4 linked regions of the Alligator mississippiensis genome follow. The protein of the gene in region 1 binds, or shares a complex with, the protein of each later gene. Links are inferred from orthologs where the notes say so. Each region holds a gene or a part of one and is shown in the gene's direction. Other genes may lie near its edges.

Region 1 (7,643 bases):
AGGGAGGGACAGGCTGCAATTGGATCTGGACAGGTTACAGGGGTGGGCGGATAAGAATAAGATGGGGTTCAATACTGACAAGTGCAGGGTACTGCACCTAGGGAAAAAGAACCAGCAGCATACCTACAGACTGGGGAACTCCCTTCTCATCAGCACAGAGGCAGAAAAGGATCTTGGAATAATTTATAGACTCCAAGATGAACATGGGCCGCCAATGTGGGGATGCAGTCAGGAAGGCTAACTGCACCTTGTCATGCATCCACAGATGCATCTCAAGCAGGTCCAAGGAGGTGATCCTCCTCCTCTATATGACATTGGTCAGGCCATAGTTGGAGTACTGCGTCCAATTCTGGGTGCCACACTTCAGGAGGGATGTGGACAACATTGAGAGGGTCCAGAGGAGGGCCACTCGCATGATCAGGGGGCAGCAGGGCAAACCCTACAAGGAGAGGCTAAGGGACCTGAACCTGTTCAGCCTCCACAAGAGAAGGCTGAGAGGGGATCTGGTGGCTATCTATAAACTGTCCAAGGGAGACCAGCAGGCAGTGGGAGAGTCCCTGTTCCCCCGAGCACTACCGGGAGTAACAAAGAATAACGGCCGTAAGTTGACGGAGAGTAGATTCAGGGTCGATATCAGGAGGCACTACTTCACAGTCAGGGCGGCTAGGATTTGGAACCAACTCCCAAGGGAAGTGGTGCTGGCTCCTACCCTGAGGGTCTTCAAAAGGAGGCTAGATAGACACCTTGCTGGGGTCGTTTGACCCCAGCATTTTTTCCTGTCCATGGCAGGGGGTCGGACTTAATGATCTGCTCAGGTCCCTTCCGACCCTACCAACTATGAAACTATACAGAGTAAGGCAGAGTGCATATGGCGCATGGTGGGGTCTGAGACATGGGCAAGGTCCAGCAAGGGACCTGAGCCCATAAAAGCAAGGAGCCCAGAATGAGATGAAGGGCAAGGAGCCCATAGCGGCAAGGACCCCAGAATGAAGCCTAAGGGATGTCAGGCACAAAAGCCCAGCGAGGGAGTGGAGTAGAGGCCCCAATGATGGGGTGGAGTTGTGGCCCCAGAAAGGAAGCATATGACCAAGGCATGTCTGAGGACATCTGAGGCCAAGTTTGGGCCAGAGACCGGGCCAAAGTACATCCAAGGCCAAATGTAGGTCAGAGGCCGAGTGCAGCCCAGCTAAGGGTCCAGGAGAGTTTGAAGTGATTTTTGAAGGCATGAAACATGGTGTAGGGATGGCTTGGAGCCATGTATTATGCCCTGGGCATCAGGCAATAAATGGGCAGCCTCCTGCCTATGTACAAACAACTCTTTAGTTCCAACAAAGGAGTGGCAGGTGAGTCAGGTGGGTGGATAGCCCTAGAGAGGTGCACAGGCTGGTGTTGTGACCAGCCTCGTGATGGCCCCTTGTCACAGGTCCTCTTACAGCTTCATACTTCAAGAAGATGTGGACAGATAAGAAAGAGTCTAGATGAGAGTGACAAAAATGATGAGGTCTGGAAAACATGACTTACGAGGAAAGGTCGAAAGAACTAGGGTTCTTCAGTATAGACAAGACAAGACTGGTAGGGGGGATTTGATAAGTTTTCAAATACCTGAATGGAGATTATAGAGGATGAAAATAAGACTTTTCTCTGCTGCTGTAGGGGACAGGACTAGGAGCAATGGCTTCACACTACAGTGGAAGACATTTAGGTTGATGATCAGGAAGAATTTTCTCACTGTGGAGGTGGATAAGTATTTTCAACTATAGATGCATTTGGCTGGGATAGTTTATTCAGGAATAATCCTGCCTTGAACAGGGGGCTTTCTAAGGTCCATTCCAGCCCTACTCTTCTATAATCTAAAATAGCATAAAATTGTCTCATTTATCAGATTATCAACCCTGTCTATGTCCTAGTCTTCTAGTTCAATGGAAAGTTGCATTCACAAGTACATCTGACCTTAAATAACAGAAGAAAGTTTGCACATTTTGCAGGGAAATGTGAAAAATTATGATTTATTATTATTACATACTATATTAGGGCAGCATTATTAATCCCTATCCAGATCTTTTCTTACCCTTAGGTCACATCTACATGTGCTATAAATGTGCAGCAATAAACTCTGGCGCATATTATGCGCCGGAGTTTATTGCCCCTGGGCACTGCATTTGGACATGTGCCTGGGTCCACAGCACATTGAGCTAGGTTGGAGCAGCCCCAGCTGGCAGGAGGCCCCAGAGGTAGGGGGTCAGCCTGCAAGCCTGGGGCTACTCTGACTTGGCTCAACGTGCTGCAAAGGGGCTGGCTGGTGCATGAGGGTACTTCAGTGTGAGGCTAGCCAGCAGGCAGACCCTGCACTGAAGCACCCTTGTGCTCCATCCAGCTATATAAGCATCTACACACATGCTGATGCAGAGAAAAAAAAAAACTCCGCCACAGGACACTACTTGTATTTACAAGCACTAACCTATGGCAGAATTAATTAGTTTACTCTATTGTAATAGCATTGCATATCAAGACACTGAGACATTTACTATGGAGCTAATTAAGCAACTGCAGTAAATGTCTTGTGTAGATGTGCCCTTGGAGCTGGGGTGACCAATTATTTCGGCTGAAGGACCACTTACTGACTTTTGGTGAGCTGTTGAGGTAGCCACATTCCCAGGTTGCCGTCTTGGGGCCAGACGTCCCACCACTAACCCCTGATCTTTGCCACTGAAAGTCCCTCTACTTGCCCCAGAAGTACTGTTTTTTTGAGGGGGGCTTGCCATCTTGGAACCACAAAAAAACTCCCAAATCATGTACTAAAAATCAAACATCTACTAGAACATATTTTATTTCAAAAAATATTTTTGTCCTGATTTCTGTGTGTTTGTGTAGTGTATATAGAGGCAATTGCATAATAGCACAAAATAAAGTCTTACTCTTGTATATTGTGCGGGTGTTGTTTGGGGGTGAGAGTTGGGGGGCGGTTGGAAGTAGGTACGATGGGGGGGGGGGGGGGGCCCTGTCACACAGTGCCCCATGGTGAATAGCCCCTGCTGCCAGCAGCAGCAGTTTCCTGTGGCGGGCAGAGCCCCCCAGCAGTGCACGGCTCCAGCTGAGTTGCAGGAGCTGCACATGGTGGCACAGAACTGGCTCAATGGTGTGCGGCTCCCCACTGAAGTGCCAGCCCAGGGAGCTGCATGCCACCAAGCTAGGCCAGCACGTAGGGGTTTCCAGCACTTCAGCAAAGAGCCGCACATGGAGGGACAAAGCCAGCCTGGCCCAGCCTGATGGTGTGTGGCTCCTGCCTGCAGTGCTGGGATCCCCATGTGCTTGTACAGAGCCAGCCCGGCCTGCCCAATGCTGCGCAGCTCCCGGATAGAGTACCCGGGAACTGCATGTGGTGGCATGGAGCCCACTGGGCTCCATCATGCGTGGCTCCCTGCTGGAGTGCTGGGGAGTTACAAGCTGTCGGGCCAGGCTGGCTCCCTGCTGCCACATGGTGCTCCTGCCCTGAGTGCTGGGAGCCCCAAGGTCAGCCCAGCCTGGTGATGCATGACCTCTGAAAGGCTGAGCCTCCTGCTGGCTTTCAGAGGGGCAACCATGGGCTGGTAATAATTGTCTTTTGGGGAGGCCCCATGGGCTAGAATGGTGTGGCTGGCTGGAAGTGACTTGTGGAATGTATTTTGCCCACCCACCTTAAAAGGCAAAACTGATCCTCCCCAGACCTCCTGCTCTCATCAGAGGTCAGCACTAAGTGCGTTTTTCCTCTCCATTCCAGAGAAAGGCTACATCCATCTCAGACCAAGTCCTTAGCCTCTGCTCTTTATACCCAACCCTTAGCTTAAGGACACTTATATAGGGGATCCGAGTACTTTACAAGTCTACAACTATGGGAACTTGATGCAGTATTTACTATTTCACTATGGCCGATTACTTGACTTTTTTTTTCAGTCTCCCTGTCATGCCAGTGGATTGGGGCCCTTTCTCCACAAGGAGTTAAGAGCAATCTAATTTATGCTCACTACATGGTTGCGTAGCTACAGGCAGCTGCATGATAAGAAGTCACAGCAATCGGAGGCGAGTAAAGCAGAAGCAGTGGGGGTGGGAACTGGCCAGAAAACAGCACAGCAGCTGAGACCAACCAGGCTATAAGGGTGAACCAACAGAGCTGGTTACCAGGTCCTCCGCTCTGCGGCACGTCTGGGAGAAAATTGCTCCTCACAAGCATTACCCGGACAGCGAGGGAGCAGTATCAGCATTTCTGACTGTCCCACGACATGTGGACGCCGGGATTAAACCTCCGTTAGTGAACGCTGAAGTCCCCGGGCTTCACGCTGCGCCCGGGGCGAAGGCGGTCCAGGACCTCCCGTCAGCTCGCGTCCCCAGCCCGCCTGGCCGCGCAGCGGGACCTGGAGCATTTCGCAGCAAGAGGAAGAACCCGCGCAGCCACTGTCCTGTCACCACGTCGTGGCACCCCACCGAGCCAGCGTATCAACAAAGGGGGCGACTGGCTGCGGCAGGACGCGAAAGAGCTGCGCCAGGCTCGCAGAAGCCACTCCAGCAGCTGCAGCGGGCTGAGTCGCCCGAGGACGTTCTCGCGAGAGCGAGGGGCGGGGCGGAAGGATTTTGGCGCTTTGGACGCGAAGGCTTGTGGGATCGTGGTTGTTGGGCTGGGGTGGCGGGGGCTGGGCGGCCGGCATGTCCCTGGAGCAGGGCCCTGCGGGGGACCCCGAAGCCGCCCAGGGCGCGGCCCGCGTCGTCATCGAGCGCCTCTGTCAGGACCTCAACCTGGACGCGGCCAGCGCTGCCGCGGCTCTGCGGGACTTCACGGCGCTGCAGGGCACCTACAGCCTGGAGGTGAGAGCCGGCCCGAGCTCCGGGGCCGCGCCCCCCGGCTGGTGCCAGGCTTGGGCGGGGCCGGAAAGTGCTTGCGGAGGGGCGGTGGCTCCGGCTGATGTGCGGGTACCGCTGCTTCAAGGATGACTCGCAGGGCAGCGGGGAGGCAGCCGCTGCCCGCCTGCGCTCTGAGCGACGGGGCTTGTAGCGTAGCGGGTGGCGGTGGTTCCTTGCGTTGCTGGCCGGAGCCGCTCGGCTATAATTGTGCTCGTCCGAGGCTGGCGCCAGCTGAAGGAGACTGGCAACATCGGGTCTTGGGGCAGATTCCTGTGTTCATTCTGCACCTAGGCATGGTGTGCTTGTGCTTACCTGGCAGGGGAAACGCCATGTATCTGGGTCCATGAAGGCAGTTTTCCTTAAGCTTCTCAGGGATAACTGTTCTGGCGTGGTTTAGTACCCACCAAGGTGTTGGGGCTTAATGCCCATTTTATATAAAAGTGAGGCTTCTCCCTAGCTTGTTCCTGCAGCCATATGGCTGAGGGCAGGCGACACTTGGGGGTCATCCCAACCCCAAGCCTTTGGGCTTGGCCCTACATGTAGGATGGCTGCCAAAAGACTTTGGAAACATTTAAAGCTCCTGGTGGGGGTGGAGGATGTTTGCTGGTTGTAGGGCCACTTACGGTTCTGGACTGACTCATGGATTTGGATTTGATTCGGCTTGGAACACAAAAATGTCTTTGAAAAAACAACAACCCCAACCCCGAAGTATGGTGTCCCTTTGAGGTGTTTGCAGTACCTTGGGTAAAATACAGCACCCAGCTCCTCTTCCGCATGCGGTGTCTGTCTGCAGAAGCAATTACTTGGCCATAATCATTGTATTGGAACATCTTCCATTGTTTAAGTATTGACTTTAATTTCCCTTCTGTGAAACTGAGTGTACTATGGTGGGAAAGACTCTAGATAATACAGCAGAGTCTGATTGATTTATCTGCCAATTTAGCTCTGCTTTAAAAAAATCAGTCTGAGCTCTTTAAAAGAAAGAGCTAGAATTTTTAAATTATGTAGAGCAGTGGTTTTCAACCTCTTTGTACCAGGACCTATTTGTAAAAATAAATGACCAATCTTGACCCTGTGCCCCTCACTCCCAACTGACTGCTCCCAGGGCCCAGCCCCCAGTGTGTGGGACAGGGGGTGGGTGGGTGGGTGGGGGACCCCAAGCAGCCATGGTTTCCCATGTTTTCCCCATGAAAAGCCACAGCTTCCCATGTTTTCTTGTTTTCTCCTTTAAAGGAGAATCCAATTTTAAAGTTTGTTTTGTGACCCTTTCATATATTCTTGTGACCAATGGGTTGAAAAATGCTGCTGTAAAAACCAGTGGTATTGCCAGAGAAATTCTGATATGGCATTCCAGTGTAAGTGTGTGTTTGGATAATCTGACCAATGTACACACAAGCTCAGATGACTTGCTTCTGACTGCTGAGTAGGATAGGGTTGTCAGAAGGCCAGTGTGAGAAAGGAAAGCTTTGCTACCTACAGGGTGGGGAGATGGGTCAGCAACGTTTTTGGGCAAAGTGCCAAAACACCTACAGCCTCAACTTGTAAGATGTTGGCTCAGCGGGATCGGGCCCCTCTTGGTTCCCCTTATTGTGGCAGTGTAGCCCCAGCCCTTTCCCCATTGTCCACCCTGAGGCTTGCTTGCCAAGCAAAATGCATGCCATGGTCTGGCACCCGTGCTGGGGGTTCCCTATCTATGGTCTGTCACTTATGGCATTTTTACACATGCTCTGGGGTGGGGTATATTTTAATTACAGAGCCACTATAATTAAAATGCTTGCAGTGCCTCATGTGTTCAAGGTCCTTGCATTTCAAAATGGCACTGGGGGGGGGGCACTTTAACTAAAGCTTATCAAATGAACTTCAGGTAAAGCGCCCTTGCCACCATTTTGAAATGTGAGATGTTCTCAATAGAGTGCTCCAGCAGACTCAGTTAATTGAGTCTGTTCCTATGCATTAAAATTAATCACACATCATTAATCACAATCATCAGAGCATAGATGCCCTTGTGTCTCAGGTGAATGCATAAGGTCTGGACTACCCATGGAGGTATTTGATTCCTGAATAACACTGTATGAGTTTAAAGCTATGTGTCTGAAGTTAAAGTGCACACAGGTTTTCTGGCATGATTACATAAGTAGAGAAGCCCTTAGTTGGTCACTAATCAAGTTCTGAAAGGTCATTCTGTGCACTTACAGAATTCTTCTTTGAGTTTCAGCTCATTGAATAGATGGCTGCCTTGCCTGGTCCCCGCCTTTCTCTTTTTTACCCCCAGACCCAAGCAGCCCATTGCAGGCTGGAACTCTGCCAGCCTATAAGGGGAAACCTTCAGTTTCCCATTTTTTTTTTCCTTTAAAGAAGAAAACTCATGTTTTTCCACAGCAGATGGAAAACCCAGATCCCTGTTTATTAGTATGCACAGTGTTAACATATGGTGAAGCACAAGCAGCATCTATTTTTTTCAAAATGTATGCAAAGTATGATCCATTTTTAAAGTTTGTTCACAACCCTTTCATATATTCTTGTGACCCCCCTGGGTTGAGAAACTGTTTTAGAAAATGCTAACATTATTTTGATGGTAAAGGTGCAAAGAGCAATGTCAAAACTCTTCTGCTGAATGCTAAGCTTACTTTTTCTAAGAGATCAAGGGAGTCCATTTGGTATTTTAGAGCAATTTTTTTACCATTTTCACCATCTACTTTAAAGGTAACAAACACTATGTACAAATATAGCAGGCCCATGTGCATTTCTTCCTGCAGCCCCTAATTCTGTAT
Region 2 (7,586 bases), on another chromosome or scaffold:
TCTGTGCTGTGAAAAGCTCCTTGGAACTTGTTGCATAAATGTAATATTTATAATTACTAATAATAGTTCTAATTTCATAGGTAGTGAACATATGATTCCCCTGTTTAAATTAGTGAAGCATATGCATGTAGTTAAGAAATTTTGTGAAACTGTAGTAATTTTGCACTAATAATTTACACTAGCATATGACTGCCAAATCACCAAATGCATACAAGCAAAGACTACATCACAAAGGTGTTCCACCAGGTAATAAGGCTGTGATTTAATGTTAATTATTTATATGACTTCATTATGTTCTGTAGCCAAGTTGTTTATAATACTAAAACGTATTTTTTAATCTCACAATGTTTAAGTGAAGAGTCATATCTTTTCTAGAGGAACTTTGCTAGTTACAACAAGTTGTAATAGTTTCTTTAATCCACGATATAAAGCTCTAATTGCATTTTTTTTTTTTTAATTGCAGGATTTTTTAATCCACAGGAACTCCATGCCAAGGGCTGAATTAATTTCTGAAGCCCAAATTAATGGATTAATTCAGCCCTATTTGCAAAGGAGGCTCACTAAGTGTTGGCAAGATGTCTTCCTCCGAGCTGTGCAGAATGTTGTCAAGTCATTCTGAAAGAATAGGGATTTACCAGATTTCATTACAAATTTTAAATCTGGTCCAGGCTGGAACAGCCCTTTGTAGAGACCTACCACATAGAGGTGGAGCAGATCATAATGTCCCCCGAGCTCTGGGAAATGTGGAACTATATTTTTATGGCTGTCCCTCAACTCCCCAGGCATCCAACAAGCTGTGATCCTGTTGGCCTATGAATATCCTTAAGCTTTGGCTAAATTTGTCTCTGGACTTCTGATTTGCTCTGATGCCTACAAATAACACGTGGCAGGGGAGATAACATGATGATGGTTTCAGCCCATGTGGTTTTACTCACTTGGCCGGGGATATTACAAGTATATTACAAATAAAGTAAGTACTTACTTACTTACTTACTTACCCTTTTTCTCCACCTTGTGGGTACAGACAGAAGTGCAGCTCCCAGATGTAACTGAGAAGGCTTTGCAGGAAGCCTTCTGAGTTACAACTGATGTCCTGGAACAAACTGAAGTTCACTGTTGGCTCCAGGGGGAGGGGAATCTAGCTGCTGGCTGCCAACCTGCCCCTGGTTTCCCCTAGCAGTGGCCCAGCCTGTTTGTTTCAGGATGGGAGAGGGGAAAGGGAGCAGAGGGAGCTCATTCTAGGGGTTCCCCAGCCTTTTCTGGAGGGTGGGGTGGGTGTACTGGAGCCCCCCAACCTCGGAGGGCTCTAATACACCTGCCCACACTCCAGCAGGGGCTGAAATACCCCCAGACTGAATTTCCTCTGCTCCCTTTCCCCCCCCCTCCCGCCCCGAAAACAGCTACAGGCTGGCAGGCAGTACAGACAGAAGTTATAAAAGACTCTGTTTCCAAATGTCTTGATCTGACTGACCCTGCATACAATGAGGGGTCAGATTTTCACGTGATTGGCCATTTTTGAAGCTGTCTGCAGCCATGTACTTATGTTTGGTCACCGCTATAAACTGCTTTCTATGGCCAGATCTGGCAAAAAAATGTCACTTCTGTCTGCGCTCTGGATGACTTGGTGTGGGGTAACGGCCTGTCCCTTGCACTGCAGGTAGGCTGACCCCTGCTAGAGTCCACGAAAGCCTCTTGCCTACCCCGTTTATGGTGCTGGGCAATTGCTCTTGGGCTTTCAGTGGTTCCCAGTCTGTGGCACGGGTACCACCAGTGGTGCACATTGACAGATGTATTATAATTACTCGACGTGACCAAAATTTTCTGGTGGTTGAACTGGAAAATTTGCTGGTGGTACTTCAGGCTGTATTGTTTAAAACTCACGGTGTGCAACCTGTCCGAGTTCAGGAACTGCTGCTAGCTTATTCCTTCAGCATTTTGGCTATGGGGAAGCGGGACTGGGAGCACCTGAGCCCCAAGGCCTCCAGGCTCGGGGCTTGCATGCTTCCCGCGGATTCGGGAGCATCTGAAGCCTTGGGCTGAAGAGCAGAAAGGTAGGACACTTGCTGCCACCAGACTTGAGCTCTGTTTAGCGGGCAATTTGGAGCCCATCTGGCCTGAGATGTGACATGTAGATTAAAAACGAGACAAAAGGAAGCTTACAAAGAAGCTCCCTCAATTTTGGAGGAGGCTGGCTGAGGATGCCAATGCAACTGGTTTCTCTGGCCGGGGTGCATCCCTGCTGCCTAGCGGCTCTGGACCCAGGTCGGAGGGAGCCTTTGTCGGGTATCTGATTCAGTCGCAGTCTTGCACGGGGCCCTTGGCAGGACGGTGCCGGGCTGCTCCCCCTCCCCGGCGCCGTGGCGGGGTGGGGGAGGGAGGGCAGCCCAGCCGCCGCCTCGGGGGGAGGTGCCGAGACGTGTGTCGGGGTGGCTCCGGGCCGGGGCCCGGGGCTGTGCGGTGCTCACGTCTCCCAGCCGCCGCGCGGGAGGGCTCGCGAGGCCGGGCCCGCCTGCCCGCGCCCCCCGCGCTCAGTTCGCACCCACCTCCGCGGGGCTGCAACTGACGAGGCTCCGAGCCGAGCAGCGGGGAGGCGAGTCCTGGGCGGGCCCCGCCGGGGCTCCGCGGGGGCTCGGCCGGCGCGGCGAGGCGACATGGAGGCGGCCGTGGGGGCGGGGGTCGCCTCACGGGACGGTTGGGGGACGGTTGGGGGCGACCGTTGGGGGGGGGGGGCGGGCAAGACCGAATCAGCGCCCCGCCCCCTCGGCGTTCTCGCCCCTCCCTCCTCGCTCCGGGTGACGTCACCCGCAGCTCCGCCGGCGCCATTTTGAAAGTAGACTCTTAGAGGGGGGGGCAGGGAGGGAGCCAAGAGCGGGCGAAGCTCGAGGAGCCGAGTCGGTTTCACCCCCCCCCCCCCCGGTACAATCTGCCGCCATCCTCCTCCGCGGCACCCCCCCGCCCGGCAAACGGGGGCGCTTCTAAGAGCGGAGACGTGCCACTATCAGACCCGGCCACCATTGGGAGGCCAACATGGCAGGTAAGGGGAAGGGAGCCCCGTCCTTCCCGGGTACCGGGCGCTGCAGCCCGGCGAGGGCGGGGAGCGGAGCGAAGGGGGCGCAGCTGAGGCCACGGGGCCGGGGCGCGTGCAGGGAGCCTTCCTGGGGCTGCACATGTCTGCTCCCTCTTTCCCTTCCTCCTCTTTTTTTCCTGCATTTCCCTGCATCCTGGAGCGCAGTGTGCAGAGTCCGTTTCTCCCGCTCCTGATTTCCTTCCTTCCTCCCCCGCCGCTTCCCCTCCCTGCCAAAAGATTTGCGTTGCAAAAGGGCAGCGGTGGGGTGAGGCGGGGGAAGTCCTGTGGCCCTGAAGTTGAGTGTGGAAGGGGGTTCCGGGTAGGGTGGGTCTCTCCTTTATTCCCTGTTCGACTTTCTGCTTTGGGCCGGCAGATCTCTCCCCCCCCACCCCCCGCCGCCTCCCTGGAGCGCAGGCTGGTGCTGGCGGTGTAGACAGGGCTGACAGAAAATGGTGTTTGAGTGCATTGGCATCCTATTGTAGAGCTCACCTATAAGACATCTGCAGATAAGAGTCAAATCAGACTCTCAAATAAAAAATACCTGCTCTTGGGGTGGGGGTGGGGTTCTCTTTTTCTTCTTTCTCATTTTCTTCCCCATTTTGCAAATGGCTTTACTTCATGTACAGAAGTGTGGTTGGTAGGACACGATTTTGTTTTGTTTTTTTACTTTTCCCCTTTGAATTATTTTTTTTCGGTGCTCTCTTCCTCCTTCTCTGCAAATAAATTGCATTTTTTATTCTTTGCATTTGGGGAGGCTCTGTTTAGGTTTGCATCTTGCCTTCTCCCCTACACTACAGCTCCCCTCTCTCCACCCATCCTTGTCTTTTTAATCAATGGAAACAGGGTCTTGAAGGCAGCAAGTTGTTTGGAAAATGAAATTCAGCTTGATAGTTAAGGTGTGGTGGCTTTTCCTGCAAAATGTCATCCTCAGAATGCTTCCATGATGTGAAGTGCTAAATAACAAATATCAGAGGCTGGGTACAAGTGAGAAATTGAGGATTCAGGTTTTGGGGAGGTGGGAGAGATGGTGTGGTAGGGTGTACTCCAAGCAAGTATTTTTCATAGGTGAACATCTTCGTGATGCTTCCTATTGCTGCAGCTCAGTCTAATTCACTAATCTCTTGGTGCTTAAAGAACCACCAAGTTCAGACTCTTGTCTGATCCATTTCAAATGCTGGATTCCCCTCCCTAGTGCTGAGGCTGGCTGTTGATGATGTTTCACGGAGAAAGCAGCTTGCTTCTTCATTCTTAAACTTAATTTAACTTGTTCCTTCCTGCATGCCCCTTGTCCCCAGAAGTGGTTTAGCAAGCACTTTGCAAACTGCATATGTTGCTTAGTCCTGGGTTATCATGGCTGGGAGGGAAGTCTCTCTTAGAAAGAGCAAGCTCATTTCAGTCTCTTCCTGTATGTACCAGCCCAGTGATTTGCTCAGCATGAAATGTAAAAGAAATGGGTGGTGGATTCCTGCATGTTTTGGTGGCAAGGTTCAAATGAATCACTGCCTTCCGCTGAAGCAGTAATGTTTCTGAAGCTTTCTCTTCGATCCATTTTCTATGGTAGTTACATTTGTTAACTTTAGGTAGATTTCAGGGATTTGATGTCTCTCTTTTTCCTCTCTCTCTCTGTCTCTCTCTCTCTTTTTCTCTTTCTTCCCTAGGCCTTATATTTACTCCTGGTACTTCTGTTGGGGAATTGCAGAGTTGTTGTAAAATTTCTCTAGTCTTTAAGTATTTAGTTGTTGTAACATTTTAAGGCAGCCAAAATGAAAGTCAGTTTTCTTTGAGATGTGCAAAGGTTTTAAATGTTTGTAATGTTCTGAAAATCATTCCTGGACCTAGTATTTATTTTTAAATGTAAATCACTTGTAAGTAGAGATCTGTTTTTTAGGTTTTACTGAAGTTCTGAAGTGGAAAAATGCTTTGATGCGAAATAAGCTGCTGTTCTTTTGTTTTCACATAGCATTGTTCATGCGTTCTCTTTTTAAACATAGCATAGTTTAACATTTAATTGTAATTATTTTGGTAGTTTTATGACTTATCTAATTGTAGTGAAAAGCTTCGATCATTCTTAGCACTACTTTAGCCAGATTGTGCTTTGAATACAAATTGCGAGTGACAAGCGGTATCATTTTGGGGGAAGCACTTTGTAATCAAGATTTTGGCAGCTCTGCTTTGGCTTGGGAAGTCTTGGTGGTGGGTGTGTACAACAGGCTCTGAATTGTTGCTTGCCAGCCCTAGATGCATGCTGCCTCAACTGGAGCAAATAAAATTTGCAAACAGTTTTAACTGGGGTCTCTGCTGCTTTTTTTTGCTTCCAGGAGCTGGAGGAGGAAATGATATTCAGTGGTGTTTTTCTCAGGTGAAAGGGGCTGTAGATGATGATGTAGCAGAAGGTAAGAAAAGAACTTTTATTTCTTTAAGTTACCTGTCATTATCAGTTCTGGCAGTGGCAAACATTTTTAAATAATCTTCTCTGCTGAAGTGTCTTTGTGAAAATTGAACTTTATTTTTATATAACTATAACAAAGTAGGTAAAAGCAGTGAAAAATTAAATGCATATCTGAGTTTATGTATATTTAGACTCCAAGACTTGCATCTGGGGTATGGTGGGTCCAGCTTGGGTCCAAGCTCAGATATGGTGTCTATAACTGACTGGACTTTTTTTCAGTCACATTTCGTCCGTGTGTTGCTTTACACAACTTGCTGTCAAATGGCCACTATTCTCAGTTGTGACACTGCTATTTATTTGTTTGTGGGGGTTTTTTTACATCCATCAAATATAGATAGTGATGCTTGTTCATATTCCTGGCACAGGTGTTTGAAGATTGATTAATGTTTGTGTAGCACTTCTAAAGACAGACGGTGCTAGATAAGTCACCTAACTTTGTTCTGATCTTTCTGTCATACATAACCATCAAGACTATCTTAACCTTTTAGCAATTAAACATTCATTGTTGAGAGGTTTTGTTTTTAGGACTAAAGTTATTAAAAACAGCCTTAAATTTTTGTAGTCAGGTGTTCTTGTATGGCCAGACATGGATGTCACTTTAGCAATGAGCCTGGTTTCAGTTCTGGGGAAAAATTCCACTTGTAGTTTTCAAATGTTACTTGCTTTGCCTAAGCCCTTTCTCACCATTCAGATGGCTAGGCTGAATGGAGGCCTAGATCCTGCATGCTGCTCTGTAGGGCTGGATACCCAAGCATCTGTTTTGCACAGACCAGCTTGCAAGATCAGGAACTAGAAGAATTTTGTCTTGCAGGGAGTTGTCTTCACTGTATGTAATTTGGGTCAGCATTGTATAGGCTTTGCACTTTCTAACTTGCAGACAAGTGTTAGATTTTCATTGCTTCTAGGAAAGAAGTAATTAACATTCTTTCTATTACTTCAGCTTTTTTTGAGTTGTGGTTTGAAGTACTCCAGGCTGGGTAAAATATGGACCATGGGCTGGGTCCAGTCTGCCAAGGGATTTTATCCGGCCTATGGTGGATCCCTCAGCCCTGTTGTCCCAGGCTCGGGGCAGTCCAGGCTATGGCATGTGCAGCCGGTCCTCGTGCCTCTGGGCGTGCAGCATGATTGCGGCAGCGTAGCAGCTGGGTTCGCTTCCCAGCAGTCCCTGCAGCAGCACCTCCTTCCAGCTGCCACAGCCAGTCTCTGCTACCAAACTCAACCCTGCTGCCAGGGCACCGTGACCTGTCTGCCCCACACCCACTGCTGGGGTTGCCAGACAGAGCAGATGTGTGGGGTATCCAGGACCCCCATGGGCAGGGCGTGCTTTGCTAGGTAGATGGGATGAGGCCATGGGTGGGTGAGGAAGGGCATCTGGGAGCAGGGCAGGCAGACTCCCAGATGTTAACAATCTGGGAGTGGGGCTGGACGCAGGGCTGGAATCTTGGGGTGGTGACAGTGTGGGGCTGGGGCCCCAGGGCAGATCCCCAATCCATTGCCTGTACACCCCTGCAGTGGGTGCCAGTTGTGCAGGCAAGGGTGTGGGGCGAGTATATTGAGGCGCTTCCCCTGGCCCTGCACTTTCACAGCACCGTGATCTCAGCCCTGGCCCCGCTGGCCTGTTCCACTCCCAGATGCTGCTGCTCCCTTGCCCACCTGTGGTCCCATCTGTTTGCCTGAATGCACCCTGTCTGCGGGTCCCAGGCTGGTTTCCATGGAGACCCTGGGATTGCTGGGCAGTGAGAGTGTGGGGCCTGGGGCATAGTCGCAATATGCTTCCCTCACGCCCCTTCCTGCAGAGCCGGCACCTGTTGTAGGGGTGTGCAAAGAGTGGATTATGGCTTGGTTTGGGGCACTGGCCCCTCGATCCTGATCACAGTTCTGGCCCCGCTCACCTCTCCCTCTGTCCCCTACCTGCCCATGGCTCCATCCCATCCACCGGGCCAAGTGTGGGGCAGAGCCAGGGAGGGAGTTTTGGTGAGCTGTTTGCAGGGGGTAGGAGTGGGAGGTGTTGATTCTCACTCTGCCCCAGGACAGCTCACCAGAACTCCTTAAGTGGACTTGCGGCCAAAA
Region 3 (7,179 bases), on another chromosome or scaffold:
ATGGTTAAGCATTGGATTAGATTACTTAATGAGGCTATAGAATTTCCATCCTGGATCTTTAAAGAGCGGGTTAGACAAGAATGGTTGAGATGGAGATGATCCTGCCTAGAGCAGGACTAGATGACCTCTGGAGGTCTTTTCCACGCCTATTTTTTCTATGTTTCTATCAAAGAAATAAATTAAAACTAATCTAGAGCTAGAAAGTACTATGTAAAAGAATTCAGAAACAGGGTTTCATCTAGGGTGGTAGTTTTTTTCACTGTTTACAACACCAGTCACTGTGCTATAGAATGGTTTTTCTTTGCTAGAATATGAAAGGTTCAATTACTGTATGTATTAACAACATATGCAACTACTTTAGTAGTGTTGGTGTGATGTTGTAACTGAGGGTCCAGGAGATGCATGAGAAGCAAGGATTTTGTGGGCAGTATATTTTGAACTAACCGCCTGATTGGGATAGATTTAGACAAGGTTTTGAATACAGTTAGTCCACAAGGTGGAGCTATTTGCTTTTAAATTATTCCTTATCTAACAAGAAAACTGTTTAAATCTGAAGGCAGGCAGAGATCACTCTGCCCTGCCTTGTGCCTAAACCAAGAAGAAAGTGTTTCCCTTCTCCACCCTTGCCTATTCAGTAGGATTTCTTCCACACTTTCAGGATGTACTGTTGTGGAAAACATTTTGTATAGCACCAAAATCACACAAGTGACTAACTCTCATTTAAACCTTGAGCATTCTGAAAATATTAAAAAGAATACACGGCCTGCACACACACCAAATTTGCCATTTAAAATCTTTAGCCAATTCAGTTTCTCTTAGGATGTTTCTTATCCCCTGTTTTATCCTTGAGTGAGTTGTGGTCCTGGTGAATTTTGTGGTGTACTGTAAGAGTTTACATAAACCTTGTTGCAGGGGTTTAGGTTGTAGCCGTGTTGGTCTAAGGACATAGGCAGACAAGGTTCCTTGGGTGAATTTGATATCTTTTATTAGACCAACCCAAATGGTTGGAGAATAGTTATTAAGCAAGCTTTCGGGTTCAAAAACCCTTCATCAGGCTAAGGAAGCTTCAGCAGTTGGTGTGCGCTCTTCCTGGATGGAATGAAAAGTAAACAAGCCAGGGGCTGGGGTGGGCTGGGGGTCAGTTGCCAGGCAGATTGTAATGTATCAAAAATCCAATGTCTATGTTTAGTTGGTCTAATAAAAGATATCAAATTCACCCAAGGAACCTTGTCTGCCTATGTTTAGTCCTTGATCTCGAGTATCCAGCAGGTTGATGAAATGGAGCTCATAGGCTCATCTCTGGGAAGTGTTGTGTAAGTTTCCCTTGAGGATCAGGAGTGAGAGATTGGAGAGAGAGTGGCCCTCCTGTGAGAAATGTGCCCCCACTGGTAATTGGGTGTTTCTGTCTTTGATAGATTTCCGGTGTGCGTTCATTCTGGTACGCAGTTGTTGTCTGGTCTCTCCTACATATCTTCCATCAGGGCATTTGGTGCATTGGATGAGGTATACTACATTCTTGGAGGTGCAGCTGTAAGATCCTGGGATGCTGATGGCTCTGTTGTGGGGTGTAGTAATAGTGGAGGTGGTGGAGATGTGGGGGCAGGTTTTGCATTCCTTGTCATGGCACGGTCTGGATCCTTTTGGTGTGTTCTGGGCTTGAGGAAGTTTGCTTCTGGTGATGAGGTTGGCGAGGTTTGGTGCTTGTCTGAAGGCTAGGATGGGTGGCTCTGGGAAGATCTTCTTAAGAATAGGGTCTTTTTCTAATATGGGTTGCAATTTTTTGAGGATTTTCCGTACAGGTTCGAGGGATGGGTGATAGGTCATAACCAGCGGTGTGCAATTTGTGGGTGTTCTTCTTCTGTACTGCAGCAGTTCTTCACGTGGTATCCAGGTGGCTCTTTCAAACGTGCGATCTACCTCTCTGGAGGAGTGTCCTTGCTGGGTGAAAGCCTTTTTAAGATTGGTGAGGTGGCAATCCTGGGTGTTCTCTTCCGTACAGATGCGGTGGTAACAAGGGGAAATTTCATAATCTAATTATATTAATATGATTATTCTACTATAATTGTACCACTAATTGTGCAGTCATGTTTATTATAGAATAAGAATGCCAAAAGTGCTAATTTTTTTCCCCAACTAGACAAACCCTAACTCTCTGAGCTGTTGTTTGAGGCAGAACATGGGTATCAGCTGAAACTTAAGTGGCTAGTCAAGTTACTGACATCTTTAATTTTCCCAGTGGGCTTTCCACACTTCATACCAACCAGGGTCAGCTGTATTCATTAAATCTAAGTTCAGCTGTAATAGGGGCTCTAGTTTTAAAATAATTTTGTTCAAAATGTTCACCTGGTATGAGATTTTCTAGGTAAACTTGAGAATAACAGTGTGCTATGGCTGCCCTGTTGCAGCTCACATTTTTCCAGCTGAGCTGGATTCCTTTGCAGAACAACCCAGTCATATTAGACTCGAAGATAAGTCACAGTTTTTTCATTCTATGGATGTGTGTATAAGTTTTTATTTTTATATCCATCTAGACAGCAAAAATTGTTTCCCTTTTATTTAGTCTGTTTTATAGCATATTTTTGTTTTTACAAATGTTAGCATTACTTGTGTTGCCAAATGTATTTTAAGCAGCAGGAAAGTGCCTATTTTTATTCCATTTTCCAAATTAATGGAAAGTGTTCTATAGGACTCAGGTTTTATAAATACATAAAAATAAAATTTTGAAATTTTGCATCATCTGAAACTAGGAAAGTGTCTCTGTAAGCCTAAAAAAGGCAGGACTGAATTTTAATAGATTAAGCTCTGTGTGTGCATGCGTGGTATATCCATCCTGTTTCTTTTTTGCTTGATTATGCAAGCATACAGGAAAGAATGTGAAAAAGCTGTTTAATCTTATCACAAATGCACTGACTCTTCCACGTCCAGAACATGTTTCCTTTCACTTCCAACAAATTCTTCGTTAAATGGCTGATGGCTTAGCTGGTGGTTTTATGGACTTAGTTCCCCAGTTACTAAGTAAGCAAAGAACTTTCCCCGGTAAAGCCAGGGAATGGAACTGAACCACCTATTACTGTGTCTGGTGTTTTGCTAATAATTAGAATTTCCATTCTTTGATTTCACAGTCTTACAAATGAGTTGTGAGGGTGGAGGCTGAGTGCAAGAATCTCCAAAGTGTAAAAATAGCCAGAACTGAAAAGGGTCAAACCTTTTTTTCCTAAAGTCTTGGGCTTAGAAGAGATGGAGCAGTTGGTTTGTCACTAGGTTGTAACCTGTGTTTGTATTTTCATATTTTAATTTTTACTTCAGTATCTTAGGTTTTAATCTTGAATATTAATATCTGATATCAGTTATCATCTATATTCGAGTGTTTTAGTACAAGTCTCTGGATGTTTTTGGATCTGGAAGACGTGTTCTGTAACGGACTGAAAAGTGTGTGCTCTCTGAGTAAGTCCAGGCCTGCAGCTCCAGCCTGCCCCTGCCCCGCACTTCCAGGACAGGCAGAAAGGTGGTTGTTTGAAGTGCGGGCTCCCGTGCCGGAGCCCGGTCGGTCCCAGCGCCCTGCCGCTGCCCCGTCTCGTCCCCGCTGCCTTCGACTTCATCTCGGGAAGCGGGTCCCTGCGCACCGCTCCGGGCCAGGTGGAGATGATGGCCCCGGCCAGCCTCCCCCTCCGTGACCGTGGGGCACCGCGGGCGAGAGCGCAGGGCTCTCCGCACTGGGAGGAGAGTGGGCCCGAGCCGCTCGCTGCGCTCTGCCCTGGGCGTCTGCTGCCCCCTGCCGGCCTGGGGCAGGGAAGCCCGGCCCCGCGTGGGGCACGGCTCAGCACGGCTCGTGCCGTGTAAACAGCGGTGGGAGGCCGGGGGTCCCGCTCCGACAGCGCGGCCGCGTCGGGGAAAGGAGGCAGCACGCGTCTGTGCCTCGTGGACTCTCACGTGTGTCTACTGCACAGGTGGGAGGTACGGGCGAGCACGCGCAGCTACATGCGCGCCCCTACCGACCCCGTGCGTACACACGTGCGTGCACCCCCGCGTCTGTGCGGGCGCGCGGCCAGGCCGGGCCCGGGGACCACTCTGCCCACACGAGGGCCCGCCGCCCTCCCCTCCCCTTCCCCGCGCCCCAACAAAAAGTTGGTCTCCGGGCAACGGCGCCGCGTCACTTCCTGCCAGGCCTGGCCAGGCCTCCCCGGGCCGGGCGCGTTTCGCTCGGCTGTTGTGGCCGCGGCGGCCCGGGGACACGTGGTGCCGCCGCCGGGAGGGAGCCGAGCCGCGCTGCGCTGCGGGCCAGCATGGCCGCCCTGGCCCCGGCGCCCGCCACCGGCAGCGGCAATGGCAGCGGCGCGGGGGGCGGCAGCAGCCGGCACGAGAAGAGCCTGGGGCTGCTCACGGCCAAGTTCGTGGCGCTGCTGCAGGAGGCCAAGGACGGCGTGCTGGACCTCAAAGCGGTGCGGGCCGGGCCGGGCAGGGAGCTGCTCTCCGCCGAGCAGCTCCGGGCGGGCGAGTGGGGGGGCGCGGTGCTGGAGGAGCCCCGGAGCTCCCCCGCGAGGCGCCGGCACGAAGGAGGGAGGGAGGGAGCGGGGGGCCGGGCTGGCGGGTGCTGCCCCTGGCCCGGCTACTAGGAAGGAAGGGGGTGAACGGGGCAGGGGCGATCCCTGCTTTGGGCTCCTCCCGCGTGGGTGGTAGCCTGTATTGGGACCCAGCTTGCCTGTTTCCGCGTGCAAGGCACCGGCGCTGCAAAACATCATTTTAAAAGGTTGCTATCTTCCGTAGCTTGAATCCCCCTGCAGGGAGACCTCAGTTTAGAGCCATACTCTGACTCGGTGTCGCCTTTTAGTGCTGGGGTGTGGAGGATTGAAAGGCCTGTGGTGTTTTATTTCTTTCTTTAATTTCCCCGGGAGAACATCCCACCAACCCCCCCCTTCACCGAAGGTGCAGTCAGCTTGTTCTAGAAGCACCTGCGATTGCTGCAGTGAACTTTCAGAAACACTTTTTTCCCATTCGGTTTGTTCCCACCATGCGTTCAGCAGTGCTGTGTACCATGCGGCTGCCTGACTGGAACTTCTTTTTTTTAAGTCATTTTCAAGTTCACAGGGCCTGTCTCATCTACTCGGGCTATAATATGTGAGCATCCTAAAACGCAGTGGTTTTGAAATACAGTGAAGAAGAGGAATTGTCTTGGTTTTCAGTTGGATCTGTGCAGCCAAACTGGCGCATATGAGTATTAAAAGACTTCTTTGAAGTCCTTGATGTGAATTTCCCAATAAGATGCATGCTGCATCACTGGCCAGGAGAGCTTTTAAACTGTCAGCATTGTTCAGTGTTTGGAGTGGATTGACACTGAGGCCACTTGCGGAGGAGAGTGTGCAGAGACCAAATCCTGGCCTTGCTGCAGGTCAGTAGCTATGGATGCCAGCTAGAATCTGAGATCTTCTCTGAGTTCTCAAAAATCCACATACTTACTTAGTTTTTCCTGAAATTTGGTGTCTCTTATGGTGATGCGGTATAGTTAATGTTCTAAATTTGGGGTTAAGTGAGCAGGAAGTTCCCAAAATATTCCATGCCTTCCATGAAAACTCTCAGCTTTTTTGTTTTTGCACAATGTGGGAATCAAAGTTCAGACTGAGCTTTCCCCAGATGACCTCAGTCACTCAACATGCCCCCCATCCCTTTGGGGAAGCTCCCATTCTGGGAAGAAGTATATGTAGGAAGGAGGAAGGGTACAGGTCCCATTTTGGGTGGGGTGTAAGCCCCTCTTCCTGCCCCCTGTGCATGTACAGGAATCTAGCTGGCCCTGCCTCTTTAGAGTGGCCTGAGCTCTTCCACTACTCTCCAGGTAAGGCAGGACTTTGTTTAAGTATGCCCCACCCCTGCATGGAGTGAGAGAGCTGTCTGAGACAGGGAGACACTGAGCTTTCACTTGTCATTAAATCTATAGACTACATAATCTTCTACCTAACTGCTGATGATACCTTAGCAAGAAGGTATCCTGCTAAGCACCCAATCTATGCAACATAATGTTGACTCTCTCAACATGCACATGCACCTGTTCCCTTGGATCACACATGTAGGCTCAGGCCAAGGGGCGCATGCCTATTTTATCCTATCACAGTCGCAACTCTGCCAAGCTGTTCAAACTAGTTCTTCTCCATTTGCTACAGCTACACCTAACGCAGTGCTTATGGACCATTCCCATTGGCTATTGCAAGTGTTAGCGAAGCAGAAGTAACACTGCAGGGGCTTGTGCCTTATCTCTTCTCACCGCTGTCTCTGCATTAATGAAATTTTTCATCACTGAAATATAACTTCAACAGTTACCAAAGAATCACCTCATATGTCACACATTCTGAACATGAGTTTCATGCTGAATATTTGTTTTCCAGGCAAGAGCCTTCTTATGGGAATAGTCAGATAATATATTCCATGGATAGACTTACTCAAAATGCAAGAATTAATGACTCTTCTATAGCAACTTTTCCACTGAAGGCATTTTATTTTGCAATACTAAATATGAAACATTTGGAGAGCTGGGATAGCTATAGTAAACTGGTATTTTCTCTTGAAGTCGGAGATAGTTTTTAAACCACTTTGGCACATCTTGAAGAGTGACCGGTTTGCAAAAAAAGATCTCCTTGTGTCCATACTACAAAAAGGAGGAGACTTGTTGAAAAGTCTTAGGAGAACTTTTCAAAAGTGACTAGGGAACTTCAGAATGTAAATCTTGCTTAAAGCTGATGAGACTTAGGATCCCAAGTCACTTTAGCATTTTTGACAGCTTTATCCCAAGTTATCGGACCCTATATCACGACATTTTATTAAAGGGATGATATTCTTTTATTGTTCAGCCTTATACTATTTTTTAAATTCCCTTGCCCATCCCATGTGTTTGAATGAGAGAAACAGAGTGAGTTAGGGTTAGCTAGCTATTCTCACAAATGTATCAAGAGGTGATTTGGACCCTCTGGAGTTGAAGGTGCTCTCCCATTCCCTCCCAGCAATAAATAAGTCCTGTTCCACCAACTTGCCCATTACTCTTGCGTATTCTTCACTGTCTCCCTGTCTAATATCAGTTCTGTGCCTCCCAGTGTTCCTCAGTCTCTCTAGGCTTAGGGGAAGGCATCATTCATGGTGTCTGTTTAACCCCTGTCTTAGCTGACTTGAAGATGATAAGGAAGGGCAGAAGAATTA
Region 4 (7,633 bases), on another chromosome or scaffold:
AATTGGTCACAAACAAAACCTCTTCATAAGCAGTCAACATTGCCAGATGTCAAATTAGTAATTTGCCACTTCTCAACAGTGACAAAGTGTTCCGTTTTGACCAAGAGACTAGATCAACTCTTCTCCGTCTATAATCTAGTTACTTTTACATGACTTGGCACCCACCCCCCGGTGACAGCTCCCAACTATTAATGGGTGTTAGTTCCTTTCTTATACATTCTTTCCCCACAGTTCATAATCACCTATGATATGATAGCAGCTTTGTGGCATTTATATGGCGCTCGTGTTCTGGAGAAAGATGCTAATTCCACTGGCACAAAGGTCCTGAACCTCAAGGAAGGGTGAAGTCGAGGCATTATTGGAACATATGCTCACCACCAGCACAATCCACACCACTGATCAGACAGGATAGGAAGCCTGGGGAAAAAAAAAAAACCAAAGGAAAACCAATAGAGAACCAGGAACAAAACAAGCATCACAAGGACCTGTCACCCACACATCTTCTAGACGCTTGCAAAGATATACCGGATTCTGTCTATCAAGCTCAGACAGAGAAGCTAGCAGGTAAGCAGTGTTCAGTATTCTGAATGCAACTAAAGCCATTTGGACTTACATGTGTACACAAATTAAACTGCATCCAGTTTTGGGCCCCCCACTACAGAAAGGATGTAGACAAACTGGCGAGTCCAGCTGAGGGCAATGAAAATGGTTAGAGGGCTAGGGCATGTGATTGATAAGGCTGAGGGAACTGGGTTTTTTTAGTCTGGAAAAAAGAAGGGGGGGGGGTGTTAACAGCAGCCTTCAACACCCTGCAGGGGGTTCCAAAGAGGACGGAGCTGGACTGGTCTCAGTGGTGGCAGATGACAGAAAAAGGAGCAATGGGCTCAAGTTGCAGCAAGGGAAGGTTAAATACAAGGAAAAACTCCCTCACTAGGAGGGGAAAGCACTGGAACAGGTTACCCAAAGAGGCTGCGGAGGTTTTTAAGACCCAGCTAAACAAAGCCTTGGCTGGGATGATCTAGTCAGGGGAAGAAAATGAGGGGGAAAAAAAATCTTTTTGCAATCTGTTTTTGGTTGCTATTTATGCTCCTGTAAGCAATACAATAAAATTCACAATTCACTGTTTCTGTCTTACTATCATTTTTGACAGATCTGGTCAGTGGAAGGCTTCCAAAGTATTGGGTTTTTAAAATTAAAGATATGGTTGTCTTTCACCATCTATATTCTTATATTTGATTAAAACTTCTCAATACCTATATCAGGGATAGACAAACCCCAGCATGGGTGCCAGAATGTGTCACACAAAGGCCATCTGCTTGGCGCGCATGCCTTGGGGCAGACAGCACAGAAGGGGCTAGGGCTTAACTACCACAATAAGGATTGGGCCCCTGGCTGCTCCCCTGCCATATGCCACTGGCACCCCAACTTAAGTTGAGGTTGTGGGTGTTTTTGGGTACTCTGCCCAAAAACGTTGCCAACCCCTGACCTACGTTTAATTGGACCATGAGAAGTACGGGACATGGACAGCTTTTCATCTTTCAACTAATTCCAAAATTTGTTCTTACATAAAGTTCTTACATTAACGCACAGTGTAAGAATTCTGACTTCAATGTCTCTTTGAAAGATTAGGCAGAAAGATGTAAGAAAAATTAAGAGTCTTCCTATTGACATAAATCACAGCAGGAGCTGTTCTCTCCTTCTGAAGCCCCCTCTCCTCCCAAGGAGTAGTTTTGTATGGCAATCAGGTTTCTGGAGGTATTATATAATCCACTAAATGACAAAAACTTGTGTCCGCAGAAGATACTCCTAAAGTGAGGGCAGAAAAAATAATGATATGCAGTAGACCCTAATTTGGGCTCCAACTGTAAAGTAGTTACACTGCAATGTGTCTAAAAAACCCCTCAACTGAACAAAAAGAAAAAAACTCTCAAATGTCAACACATAAAACATTTGTTTCATACTGAATCCTGAAATTCATGTTTCCATGAAAAACAAAAATCTAAACTAAATCAAATAGCTTCTCTCACATCTCGTTGAAAGAGAGGGAAAAAAAAAGATCATATGCAATATAATAAAGAGGAGCAGTGCAGAATGTTTAGGCTCTTTGGTGACCTGACTGGCTAGCCTCCCCTTTGGACTTTTTTCATATTTATACATCAAATGTGGTCCGGCTCATCCACAAGACAAAAACTATTTTGTTTTAGAGCATGCGACTAATACATCAGGAACTTCCTAAACCTTCCACATGGTCTTTGCTGCCAATGACACATCAGCAGGTGGCCAGCATTTGGCTTGGGCTACAGATGCCAAATGAGACGTATTAGTTTTGGATTAAACTGACATTTTACTGAATGCTGGTGTATGCAGCACTATATAAAAGCCTAATTCCTGTCCCAAAACTCACAATCTAAATCATGCCTTGAGCACTGCATTCCAAACAAATGATACAAGGGTCAAAGGGCCAGCCTCCAAGCTATGTGCTCACGTGCTTTAGACACGCTTACAATGATGACAGTAAAATCGATCCTGTGTTGTAAGCAGTAATACCATCTCTCCAGTCTATCCATTACAGAATCTGAACAGTTTATAAAGAGAACTAATGGTCTCATGAGTAAAGAAGCCAGTCTACTGAATTTCTCAATTATTAAAATGAAAAAACAAAAACGAAAAACCCCTAAAGGACTAAAAAAAGAGAAAACTCTTTGAACTATTTGTTCCAGTTACCAAAGAATTACCAGTCTCAAAAGATCCCAACACAACTCTGACCTTCAAGCATATAGGTTTAAAGGCTCCCAGTCACCTCTTTCCTAACGCATTAACCTTCAAAGTAATAGTAGATATGACCCAACTAATAAGTTTTCCCCCAGAGCAGTGTAAGGGATTGTCTGTTTCTTTGTGACACTTCAAATTTAATAAAACCAAACCCTAAAACCAGAACAGACTTGGAAGCTGCAAACAGCTGATCCTGGCATAGTTCAGCAGACAATACCTTAAGTCCTGATCCCCCAAGGAGCTCCCCATCGGTGAATGCCTGCAAATCCCCACTCGCTGGGGCGAGCGCCCAAACAAGCAGCAGCAGGTAGGTACAGGAGTGCTAGCAAAGGCATTCGACCCATCTCAAATTTCAAGTTCATTACTTACTTCAAGTAATTAAATGCGTGGTAAAGATTTAAACCGAGCTTAAATCTTTACCATGTTTAAAGCTAACGCTGTATTTAAAATTCAGGTCTTCAGTTTAGGTGCTCGCTTTAACCTATAAAACAAGGTACAAAACCCTATTTGACCTATTTACCATGTGGCGACTCCAAGAACGACCGTACAAAATGCTGCACGTCTTTACGAGCAAAGCACATTTTGATGAGCTTCGTTCCCTCCTAAAATTCACCGTAATAAGAGGCTTTATTGTAAGACGGACGTGCTGTAGTGTGAAAAAAATACGAGTCCCGATAGTTACTGAGCATCTGGAAACACGTTATGAAATTAGCCCCATTTACCCTAAAGGGGAAACAGGCCTGCTGAGTCTAAACGTACCAAAGATAAACCAGAGTCTAAATTTACCAAAGACCGACCGCCCGGCACCGCGCAACCGCCGCTCAGGACGTACCGCCCGGGCGCCGACGCAGGGGTCCTCGGCCGGGGCGTCGGGGGCCCCCAGCGCCTCCAGGTCCTCTCGCGGGTGCCGCACGCTGGCGCGCAGGTGTGCGACCGCCGTTCACCGGACACGAGAGCCCCGTGGGTGACAGCCGCGTGCCCCGCCAGGCCCTTGGATGGCTCGGGGTGTCTGCGGTGTCCCGAAGGGGCTCGAGCAGGGGCAGGTCGAGCCTCAAACCGGCTCCCTCAGAGCGGGCTCCGGTTTCAGCCTCGCGGCCTGGCAGGGAGAGAGGGGGCGGAAGAAGAGCAGTTTCGCTTCTCAATAACACGGACACACGCACGCGCACGGGGGCACACCCCGACAGCCTCACTCGTCCGGCGCGGCGGGGAGCAGCGAGGCCGGTTCCCGCCCGGCTCCTCGCCCCGCCTCCTCCTCGGGCCGCGGCTCCCCGGCGGGGGCTGGGCTGGCGGCTCTCTCCACTTCCGGGCCCGGCTCCCGAGCACCGCTGCGCCCTCACGGCGGGCGGGAGGGCGAAGAGGGAGCGGCCGCCCCGCCGCAGGGCACGGGAACGGAGATGATGATGATGGAGATGGAGGCAGCGGCCGCTCCCGCTTCCCGTCTCCCGCGGCCTAAAATGGGAAAGAGCCCCTCACAAAATGGCGCCGGGCGGCCTCGAGCACTGCGCATGCTCCGCGCGGCCCAGCTCCTTGCCGCCGGCCCCTACCCCCAATCCCCGCCGAGAAGCTCCGACCAACCGGCGCTCGGCGAGCGCTGACTTCACTTCGGCGGCGCCCAATGGAGCCGAGTCGCGGGGCTCCGCCAATCGCCGGCCCGCGCCGCCTTACCTGCGTCGCCGGCCGGCCAATGCGCTGCCCGCGCCGCCGGCCAATGGGGGTGCTGTCCGCGGCGCCCAATCCGGGCGGGGCAGAGCCCCCCGGGCGTCACGGCGAGCCAATGAGAGCGGGCGGAGCCCCGATTCCGCTCAACAGCTTGTTATTGGGCTGGCGAGTCGGGGCGGGGGGAGGGAGGAGCGCGGGGTGGGGGGGGCCGCCGCTGTCGTCGTCGTTGCTGAGGCGGCCGCTGCGCCGCCCGGGCCGTGTCCGGTAGGGCTGCGCCGGCGGGCGGGGGGGAGGGGGCGAGCGGCGGCTGCCCCGGCCCGAGCCCCGGCGCCAGCCTGCTCCGGCCGGCGGGTCCCGGCCGGTCCGCGCGCGCTGCGGCGGCGCCCGGGAAAGTTGCGAGGGGCGGCGGGGCCCGGGGGGGGAGGGCTCCCGCCTGACACGGGGCAGCGGAGCAATGGCGACGTGACACCGGGCGGGTGAGGAGCCCGCGCGCGCGCGTGTGTGTGGGGAGGGGGGCTGCGAGTGTGCACACGTATTTGGGAGTGCGTGCGTGTGCTTATTTCTGTGTGTTTTGGGAGAGTGTGTGTGTGTGTGTGTGCGTGTGTGTGCGCGGAGGCTGTGTGCAAAGTGTGAGCCCGCCCAGTGCGGAGGGGTGTGTTTAATGATCAACCCCGGACTTGTGGCTGGATCGCGAAGGCCGAGACGTTTCCTTTCCCGAGCCGCCTCCTCTGACCGTGCGTCTCTCTCCTCTTCTAGTTTTTCCCCCGTGCGGCGGCGGTGGCGGCGAGGAGGAGTCGTCGAGCTGGACCCCCGCGCCTGAGCTTGGAAGATGAAGGTAAGCGGAGCCAGCCCCGGAGCGTCGCCCTCGCCGCCGGAGCTCGCTCGTTCGTTCGCTCGCTCGCTCGTTCGCTCTCCCTCTGTTTCCTCCTCTCCTCCCCGTCACCGGCGCCTTTCGTGCCATTGCTCGTCCCGCTGCGTCCTCCTCCAGCGACAGCAGAATAACATCCGGCCCGGCCGTGGACATCAGCACATGTTGATTCATGTGAAATCCCGTGCCTTCCATTTGACAGAGGTGCAGCCGATGCCATTGCGCTGCTCGAGAAAGATAGGATGCCTTTGAATGGTCGGCCTTCGGGCTGCTGCCTTTAAATGCTTCCTGTATTAGCAGCAGCTTTGGTGAGTGTGCACAAACCACACGCCACTTTTTTTTGTCCTGCCTGAGCTGTTTCGGTTTTTGCAGAGCCGAGGCAAAACAATCGCTGGATCGTTTGCAAAGTGGGACGAACTTTTCTTGGCTGCGGAGGTGAACAAACACGGAGTTAGAGCCTGACATTAATTCCTTGCACACACCGATTTCCTGTTTTACTGTATTTCGACTCTTTTTTTTTTTTCTTCTTCCTTTAAAGTGCAGTACCTCATTTCTCAGTCATGGTAAAAAGCCAAGCAAAAGATTACTATGTTAAGTCATTCCCAGATACAGGCGTGTGAGCTTAACAGTTTCTAAGGTTGCCTGCATTTTGAGAGGATAAAGATCTGAACAAAAGACTTTTGAGGAAGAAGAAGAGCATTTAACATAATTGTTTGAAAGGTTATAGCAACTTGGTGTATTTTTTTTCCCTGTTTCTGGAAATCTGGGATAGACAGTAGGATAGAACTCTGTTCACTGCATGGAAATGACAAATTGGATTCTTTTTTTAAGTGGATATCAGCACATGAATATTTTAAAGTAAATATAGACTATGTTTGTTAATGTATCACTGCTGAAATGACAACTGTACAATCTCTGTTCAACTTGAAATATCACTTTCCCACTGTATTCTTTGCAAGGATGAGTTGAAATGATCTTTGGGTAGATAGATAGATATTTTTCCTCCTTATTGTAAGCACATGCTACACTTTGAGGCTGTTGATTTGGGATTACTGAGAGAGGAGTCATTGAAAAAACCATGGGTTAACATTAGTAGCTGAACAGAACTTCCTATAACTTATCCATGAACTCGGTATTAAGTAAGTGGCTTAGCCACTCTGTTATTTTGAAATTTCCTGGCAAAGCTCGTGTATTTATTCACTTGTAAGTATTTTGGTATGATGCAAAAAGTGCTATAACACATCATCCTTGATTCATTCTTGTTCTTTTTTCTCAGTTAAATTTCTTAAGTTGCTATTTTAAATTGTATGCCTAGATGTAAATGACAGAATAGGGACATAGGCAGTTCTGATTTTTTTCCCCCTCCTTATTACATTTTTCTTACAGAGTCTATTTTGTTGAAATTGCTTTTTTTTTTTTTTGTTCTCTGCATGTATGTGGTTTATAAAACACCTTTTGTGTCTGTTGTAGCAAGATCAATTTGTTAATCTTTTTTTGGTGCATCTTGTTTAGAAATTATACTGAGACAGTGAAACTTTAAATCTGATTAAAACATTTCAAAATATCTTGGCTAAAATTGGGTCTGCCTGGAAAAAACACTTAGTCTGATCCTGCTCCACTGTTTTTATGGAACAAAATCAAGGGACATTGTTAGCAGATGTGTCAACAAATTGCTAACTTTTTAGCATACATCCTTTTAAAGAAAGGTCAGACTTACAGTAGCTACATAAATTGCTGTTTAGGATTTTGTGAAGAAATGGTCAACAGGACTGAAACTTTGGGTGCGTATTTGAATGTATGATGCTTGTTGCTAATGAATTTCTTTTTTTAACAAAATATGAATATGAGAGACTAACTGTTTTCATGTTTTCTTTTTTTGATAGGCAGCAGATGAGCCTGCCTACTTAACAGTCGGGACTGATGTCAGTGCCAAGTACCGTGGTGCCTTTTGTGAGGCAAAGATAAAGACGGTGAAAAGGCTAGTGAAAGTCAAGGTAGAATTCGTTATATTAGTGGTAATCTTTCTGTTTCTTATTCAAAAAGGTAATATTCACAGGAACACCAAGGAAAATCATGCCTCTTAAAATTTATGTATGACTAAACAGATCTGTGGACATTTCTTATAAAGTTTTTTTTCTGTCTCCCAAAAACCATTGGTGCAATTAGTTTAGTGCATATGTGTTCTTTTCTTTTGAAGGATGCTAGAGTACAATAGTCTCTAAAATAATTTTATCTGTTCTTGCTACTTATTTCTCATTTGAATTTATAATCTTATGTTTGTGACGACAGCTGTTCCACAGCAATCAGTTTTGATGTCACAAACAAGATTATGAC

Evidence for each region.
Region 2: the proteins of RBL1 (region 1) and PPP2R2A are in contact, whole or in part, in a cryo-EM structure (PDB 9C6B), measured with the Homo sapiens proteins. The link is inferred for Alligator mississippiensis from reciprocal best matches to the Homo sapiens genes RBL1 and PPP2R2A. Residues at the interface, in NP_002886.2 of Homo sapiens: Ser615, Pro616, Leu617, Met618, His619, Pro620, Arg621, Val622, Val625, Arg626, Ser629, Leu632; in NP_002708.1 of Homo sapiens: Lys88, Tyr178, His179, Asp197, Leu198, Met222, Glu223, Glu224, Leu225, Thr226, Glu227, Val228, Ser247, Arg278, Ser279, Phe280, Phe281, Ser282, Glu283, Ile284, Ser287, Tyr337, Phe343.
Region 3: the proteins of RBL1 (region 1) and E2F5 are in contact, whole or in part, in a crystal structure (PDB 5TUV), measured with the Homo sapiens proteins. The link is inferred for Alligator mississippiensis from reciprocal best matches to the Homo sapiens genes RBL1 and E2F5. Residues at the interface, in NP_002886.2 of Homo sapiens: Ser1000, Ala1001, Leu1002, Leu1003, Tyr1004, Lys1005, Phe1006, Asn1007, Ile1017, Met1020, Ile1021, Gly1024, Glu1025; in NP_001942.2 of Homo sapiens: Met162, Ile190, Ala192, Pro193, Ser194, Gly195, Thr196, Gln197, Leu198, Glu199, Val200, Pro201, Ile202, Pro203, Glu204, Met205, Tyr213, Leu217.
Region 4: the proteins of RBL1 (region 1) and ARID4A are in contact, whole or in part, in a crystal structure (PDB 7SMC), measured with the Homo sapiens proteins. The link is inferred for Alligator mississippiensis from reciprocal best matches to the Homo sapiens genes RBL1 and ARID4A. Residues at the interface, in NP_002886.2 of Homo sapiens: Tyr849, Ile850, Lys853, Val854, Thr860, Phe861, Gln862, Met865, Lys866, Arg869, Tyr879, Arg880, Asp929, Leu930, Ile931, Tyr934, Asn935, Val939, Ala946, Leu947; in NP_002883.3 of Homo sapiens: Leu957, Val958, Cys959, His960, Glu961, Val962, Asp963, Leu964, Asp965, Asp966, Leu967.

The regions. Positions count from the first base shown.
Region 1 is NC_081832.1:35,405,158-35,412,800, reverse strand, and holds the start of RBL1 (retinoblastoma-like protein 1), read left to right. Parts: upstream 1-4,636; 5' UTR 4,637-4,677; coding exon 4,678-4,836; intron 4,837-7,643. UniProt on the Homo sapiens protein: Key regulator of entry into cell division. Directly involved in heterochromatin formation by maintaining overall chromatin structure and, in particular, that of constitutive heterochromatin by stabilizing histone methylation.
Region 2 is NC_081830.1:23,496,129-23,503,714, forward strand, and holds the start of PPP2R2A (serine/threonine-protein phosphatase 2A 55 kDa regulatory subunit B alpha isoform), read left to right. Parts: upstream 1-4,572; 5' UTR 4,573-4,587; coding exon 4,588-4,624; intron 4,625-5,385; coding exon 5,386-5,460; intron 5,461-7,586. Other genes in the region: EBF2 (transcription factor COE2), read right to left, coding at 2,544-2,653. UniProt on the Homo sapiens protein: Substrate-recognition subunit of protein phosphatase 2A (PP2A) that plays a key role in cell cycle by controlling mitosis entry and exit. Involved in chromosome clustering during late mitosis by mediating dephosphorylation of MKI67.
Region 3 is NC_081826.1:50,204,662-50,211,840, reverse strand, and holds the start of E2F5 (transcription factor E2F5), read left to right. Parts: upstream 1-4,179; 5' UTR 4,180-4,283; coding exon 4,284-4,439; intron 4,440-7,179.
Region 4 is NC_081825.1:295,274,608-295,282,240, forward strand, and holds the start of ARID4A (AT-rich interactive domain-containing protein 4A), read left to right. Parts: upstream 1-4,621; 5' UTR 4,622-4,695; intron 4,696-5,029; exon of another isoform or gene 5,030-5,187; 5' UTR 5,188-5,260; coding exon 5,261-5,266; intron 5,267-7,182; coding exon 7,183-7,293; intron 7,294-7,633.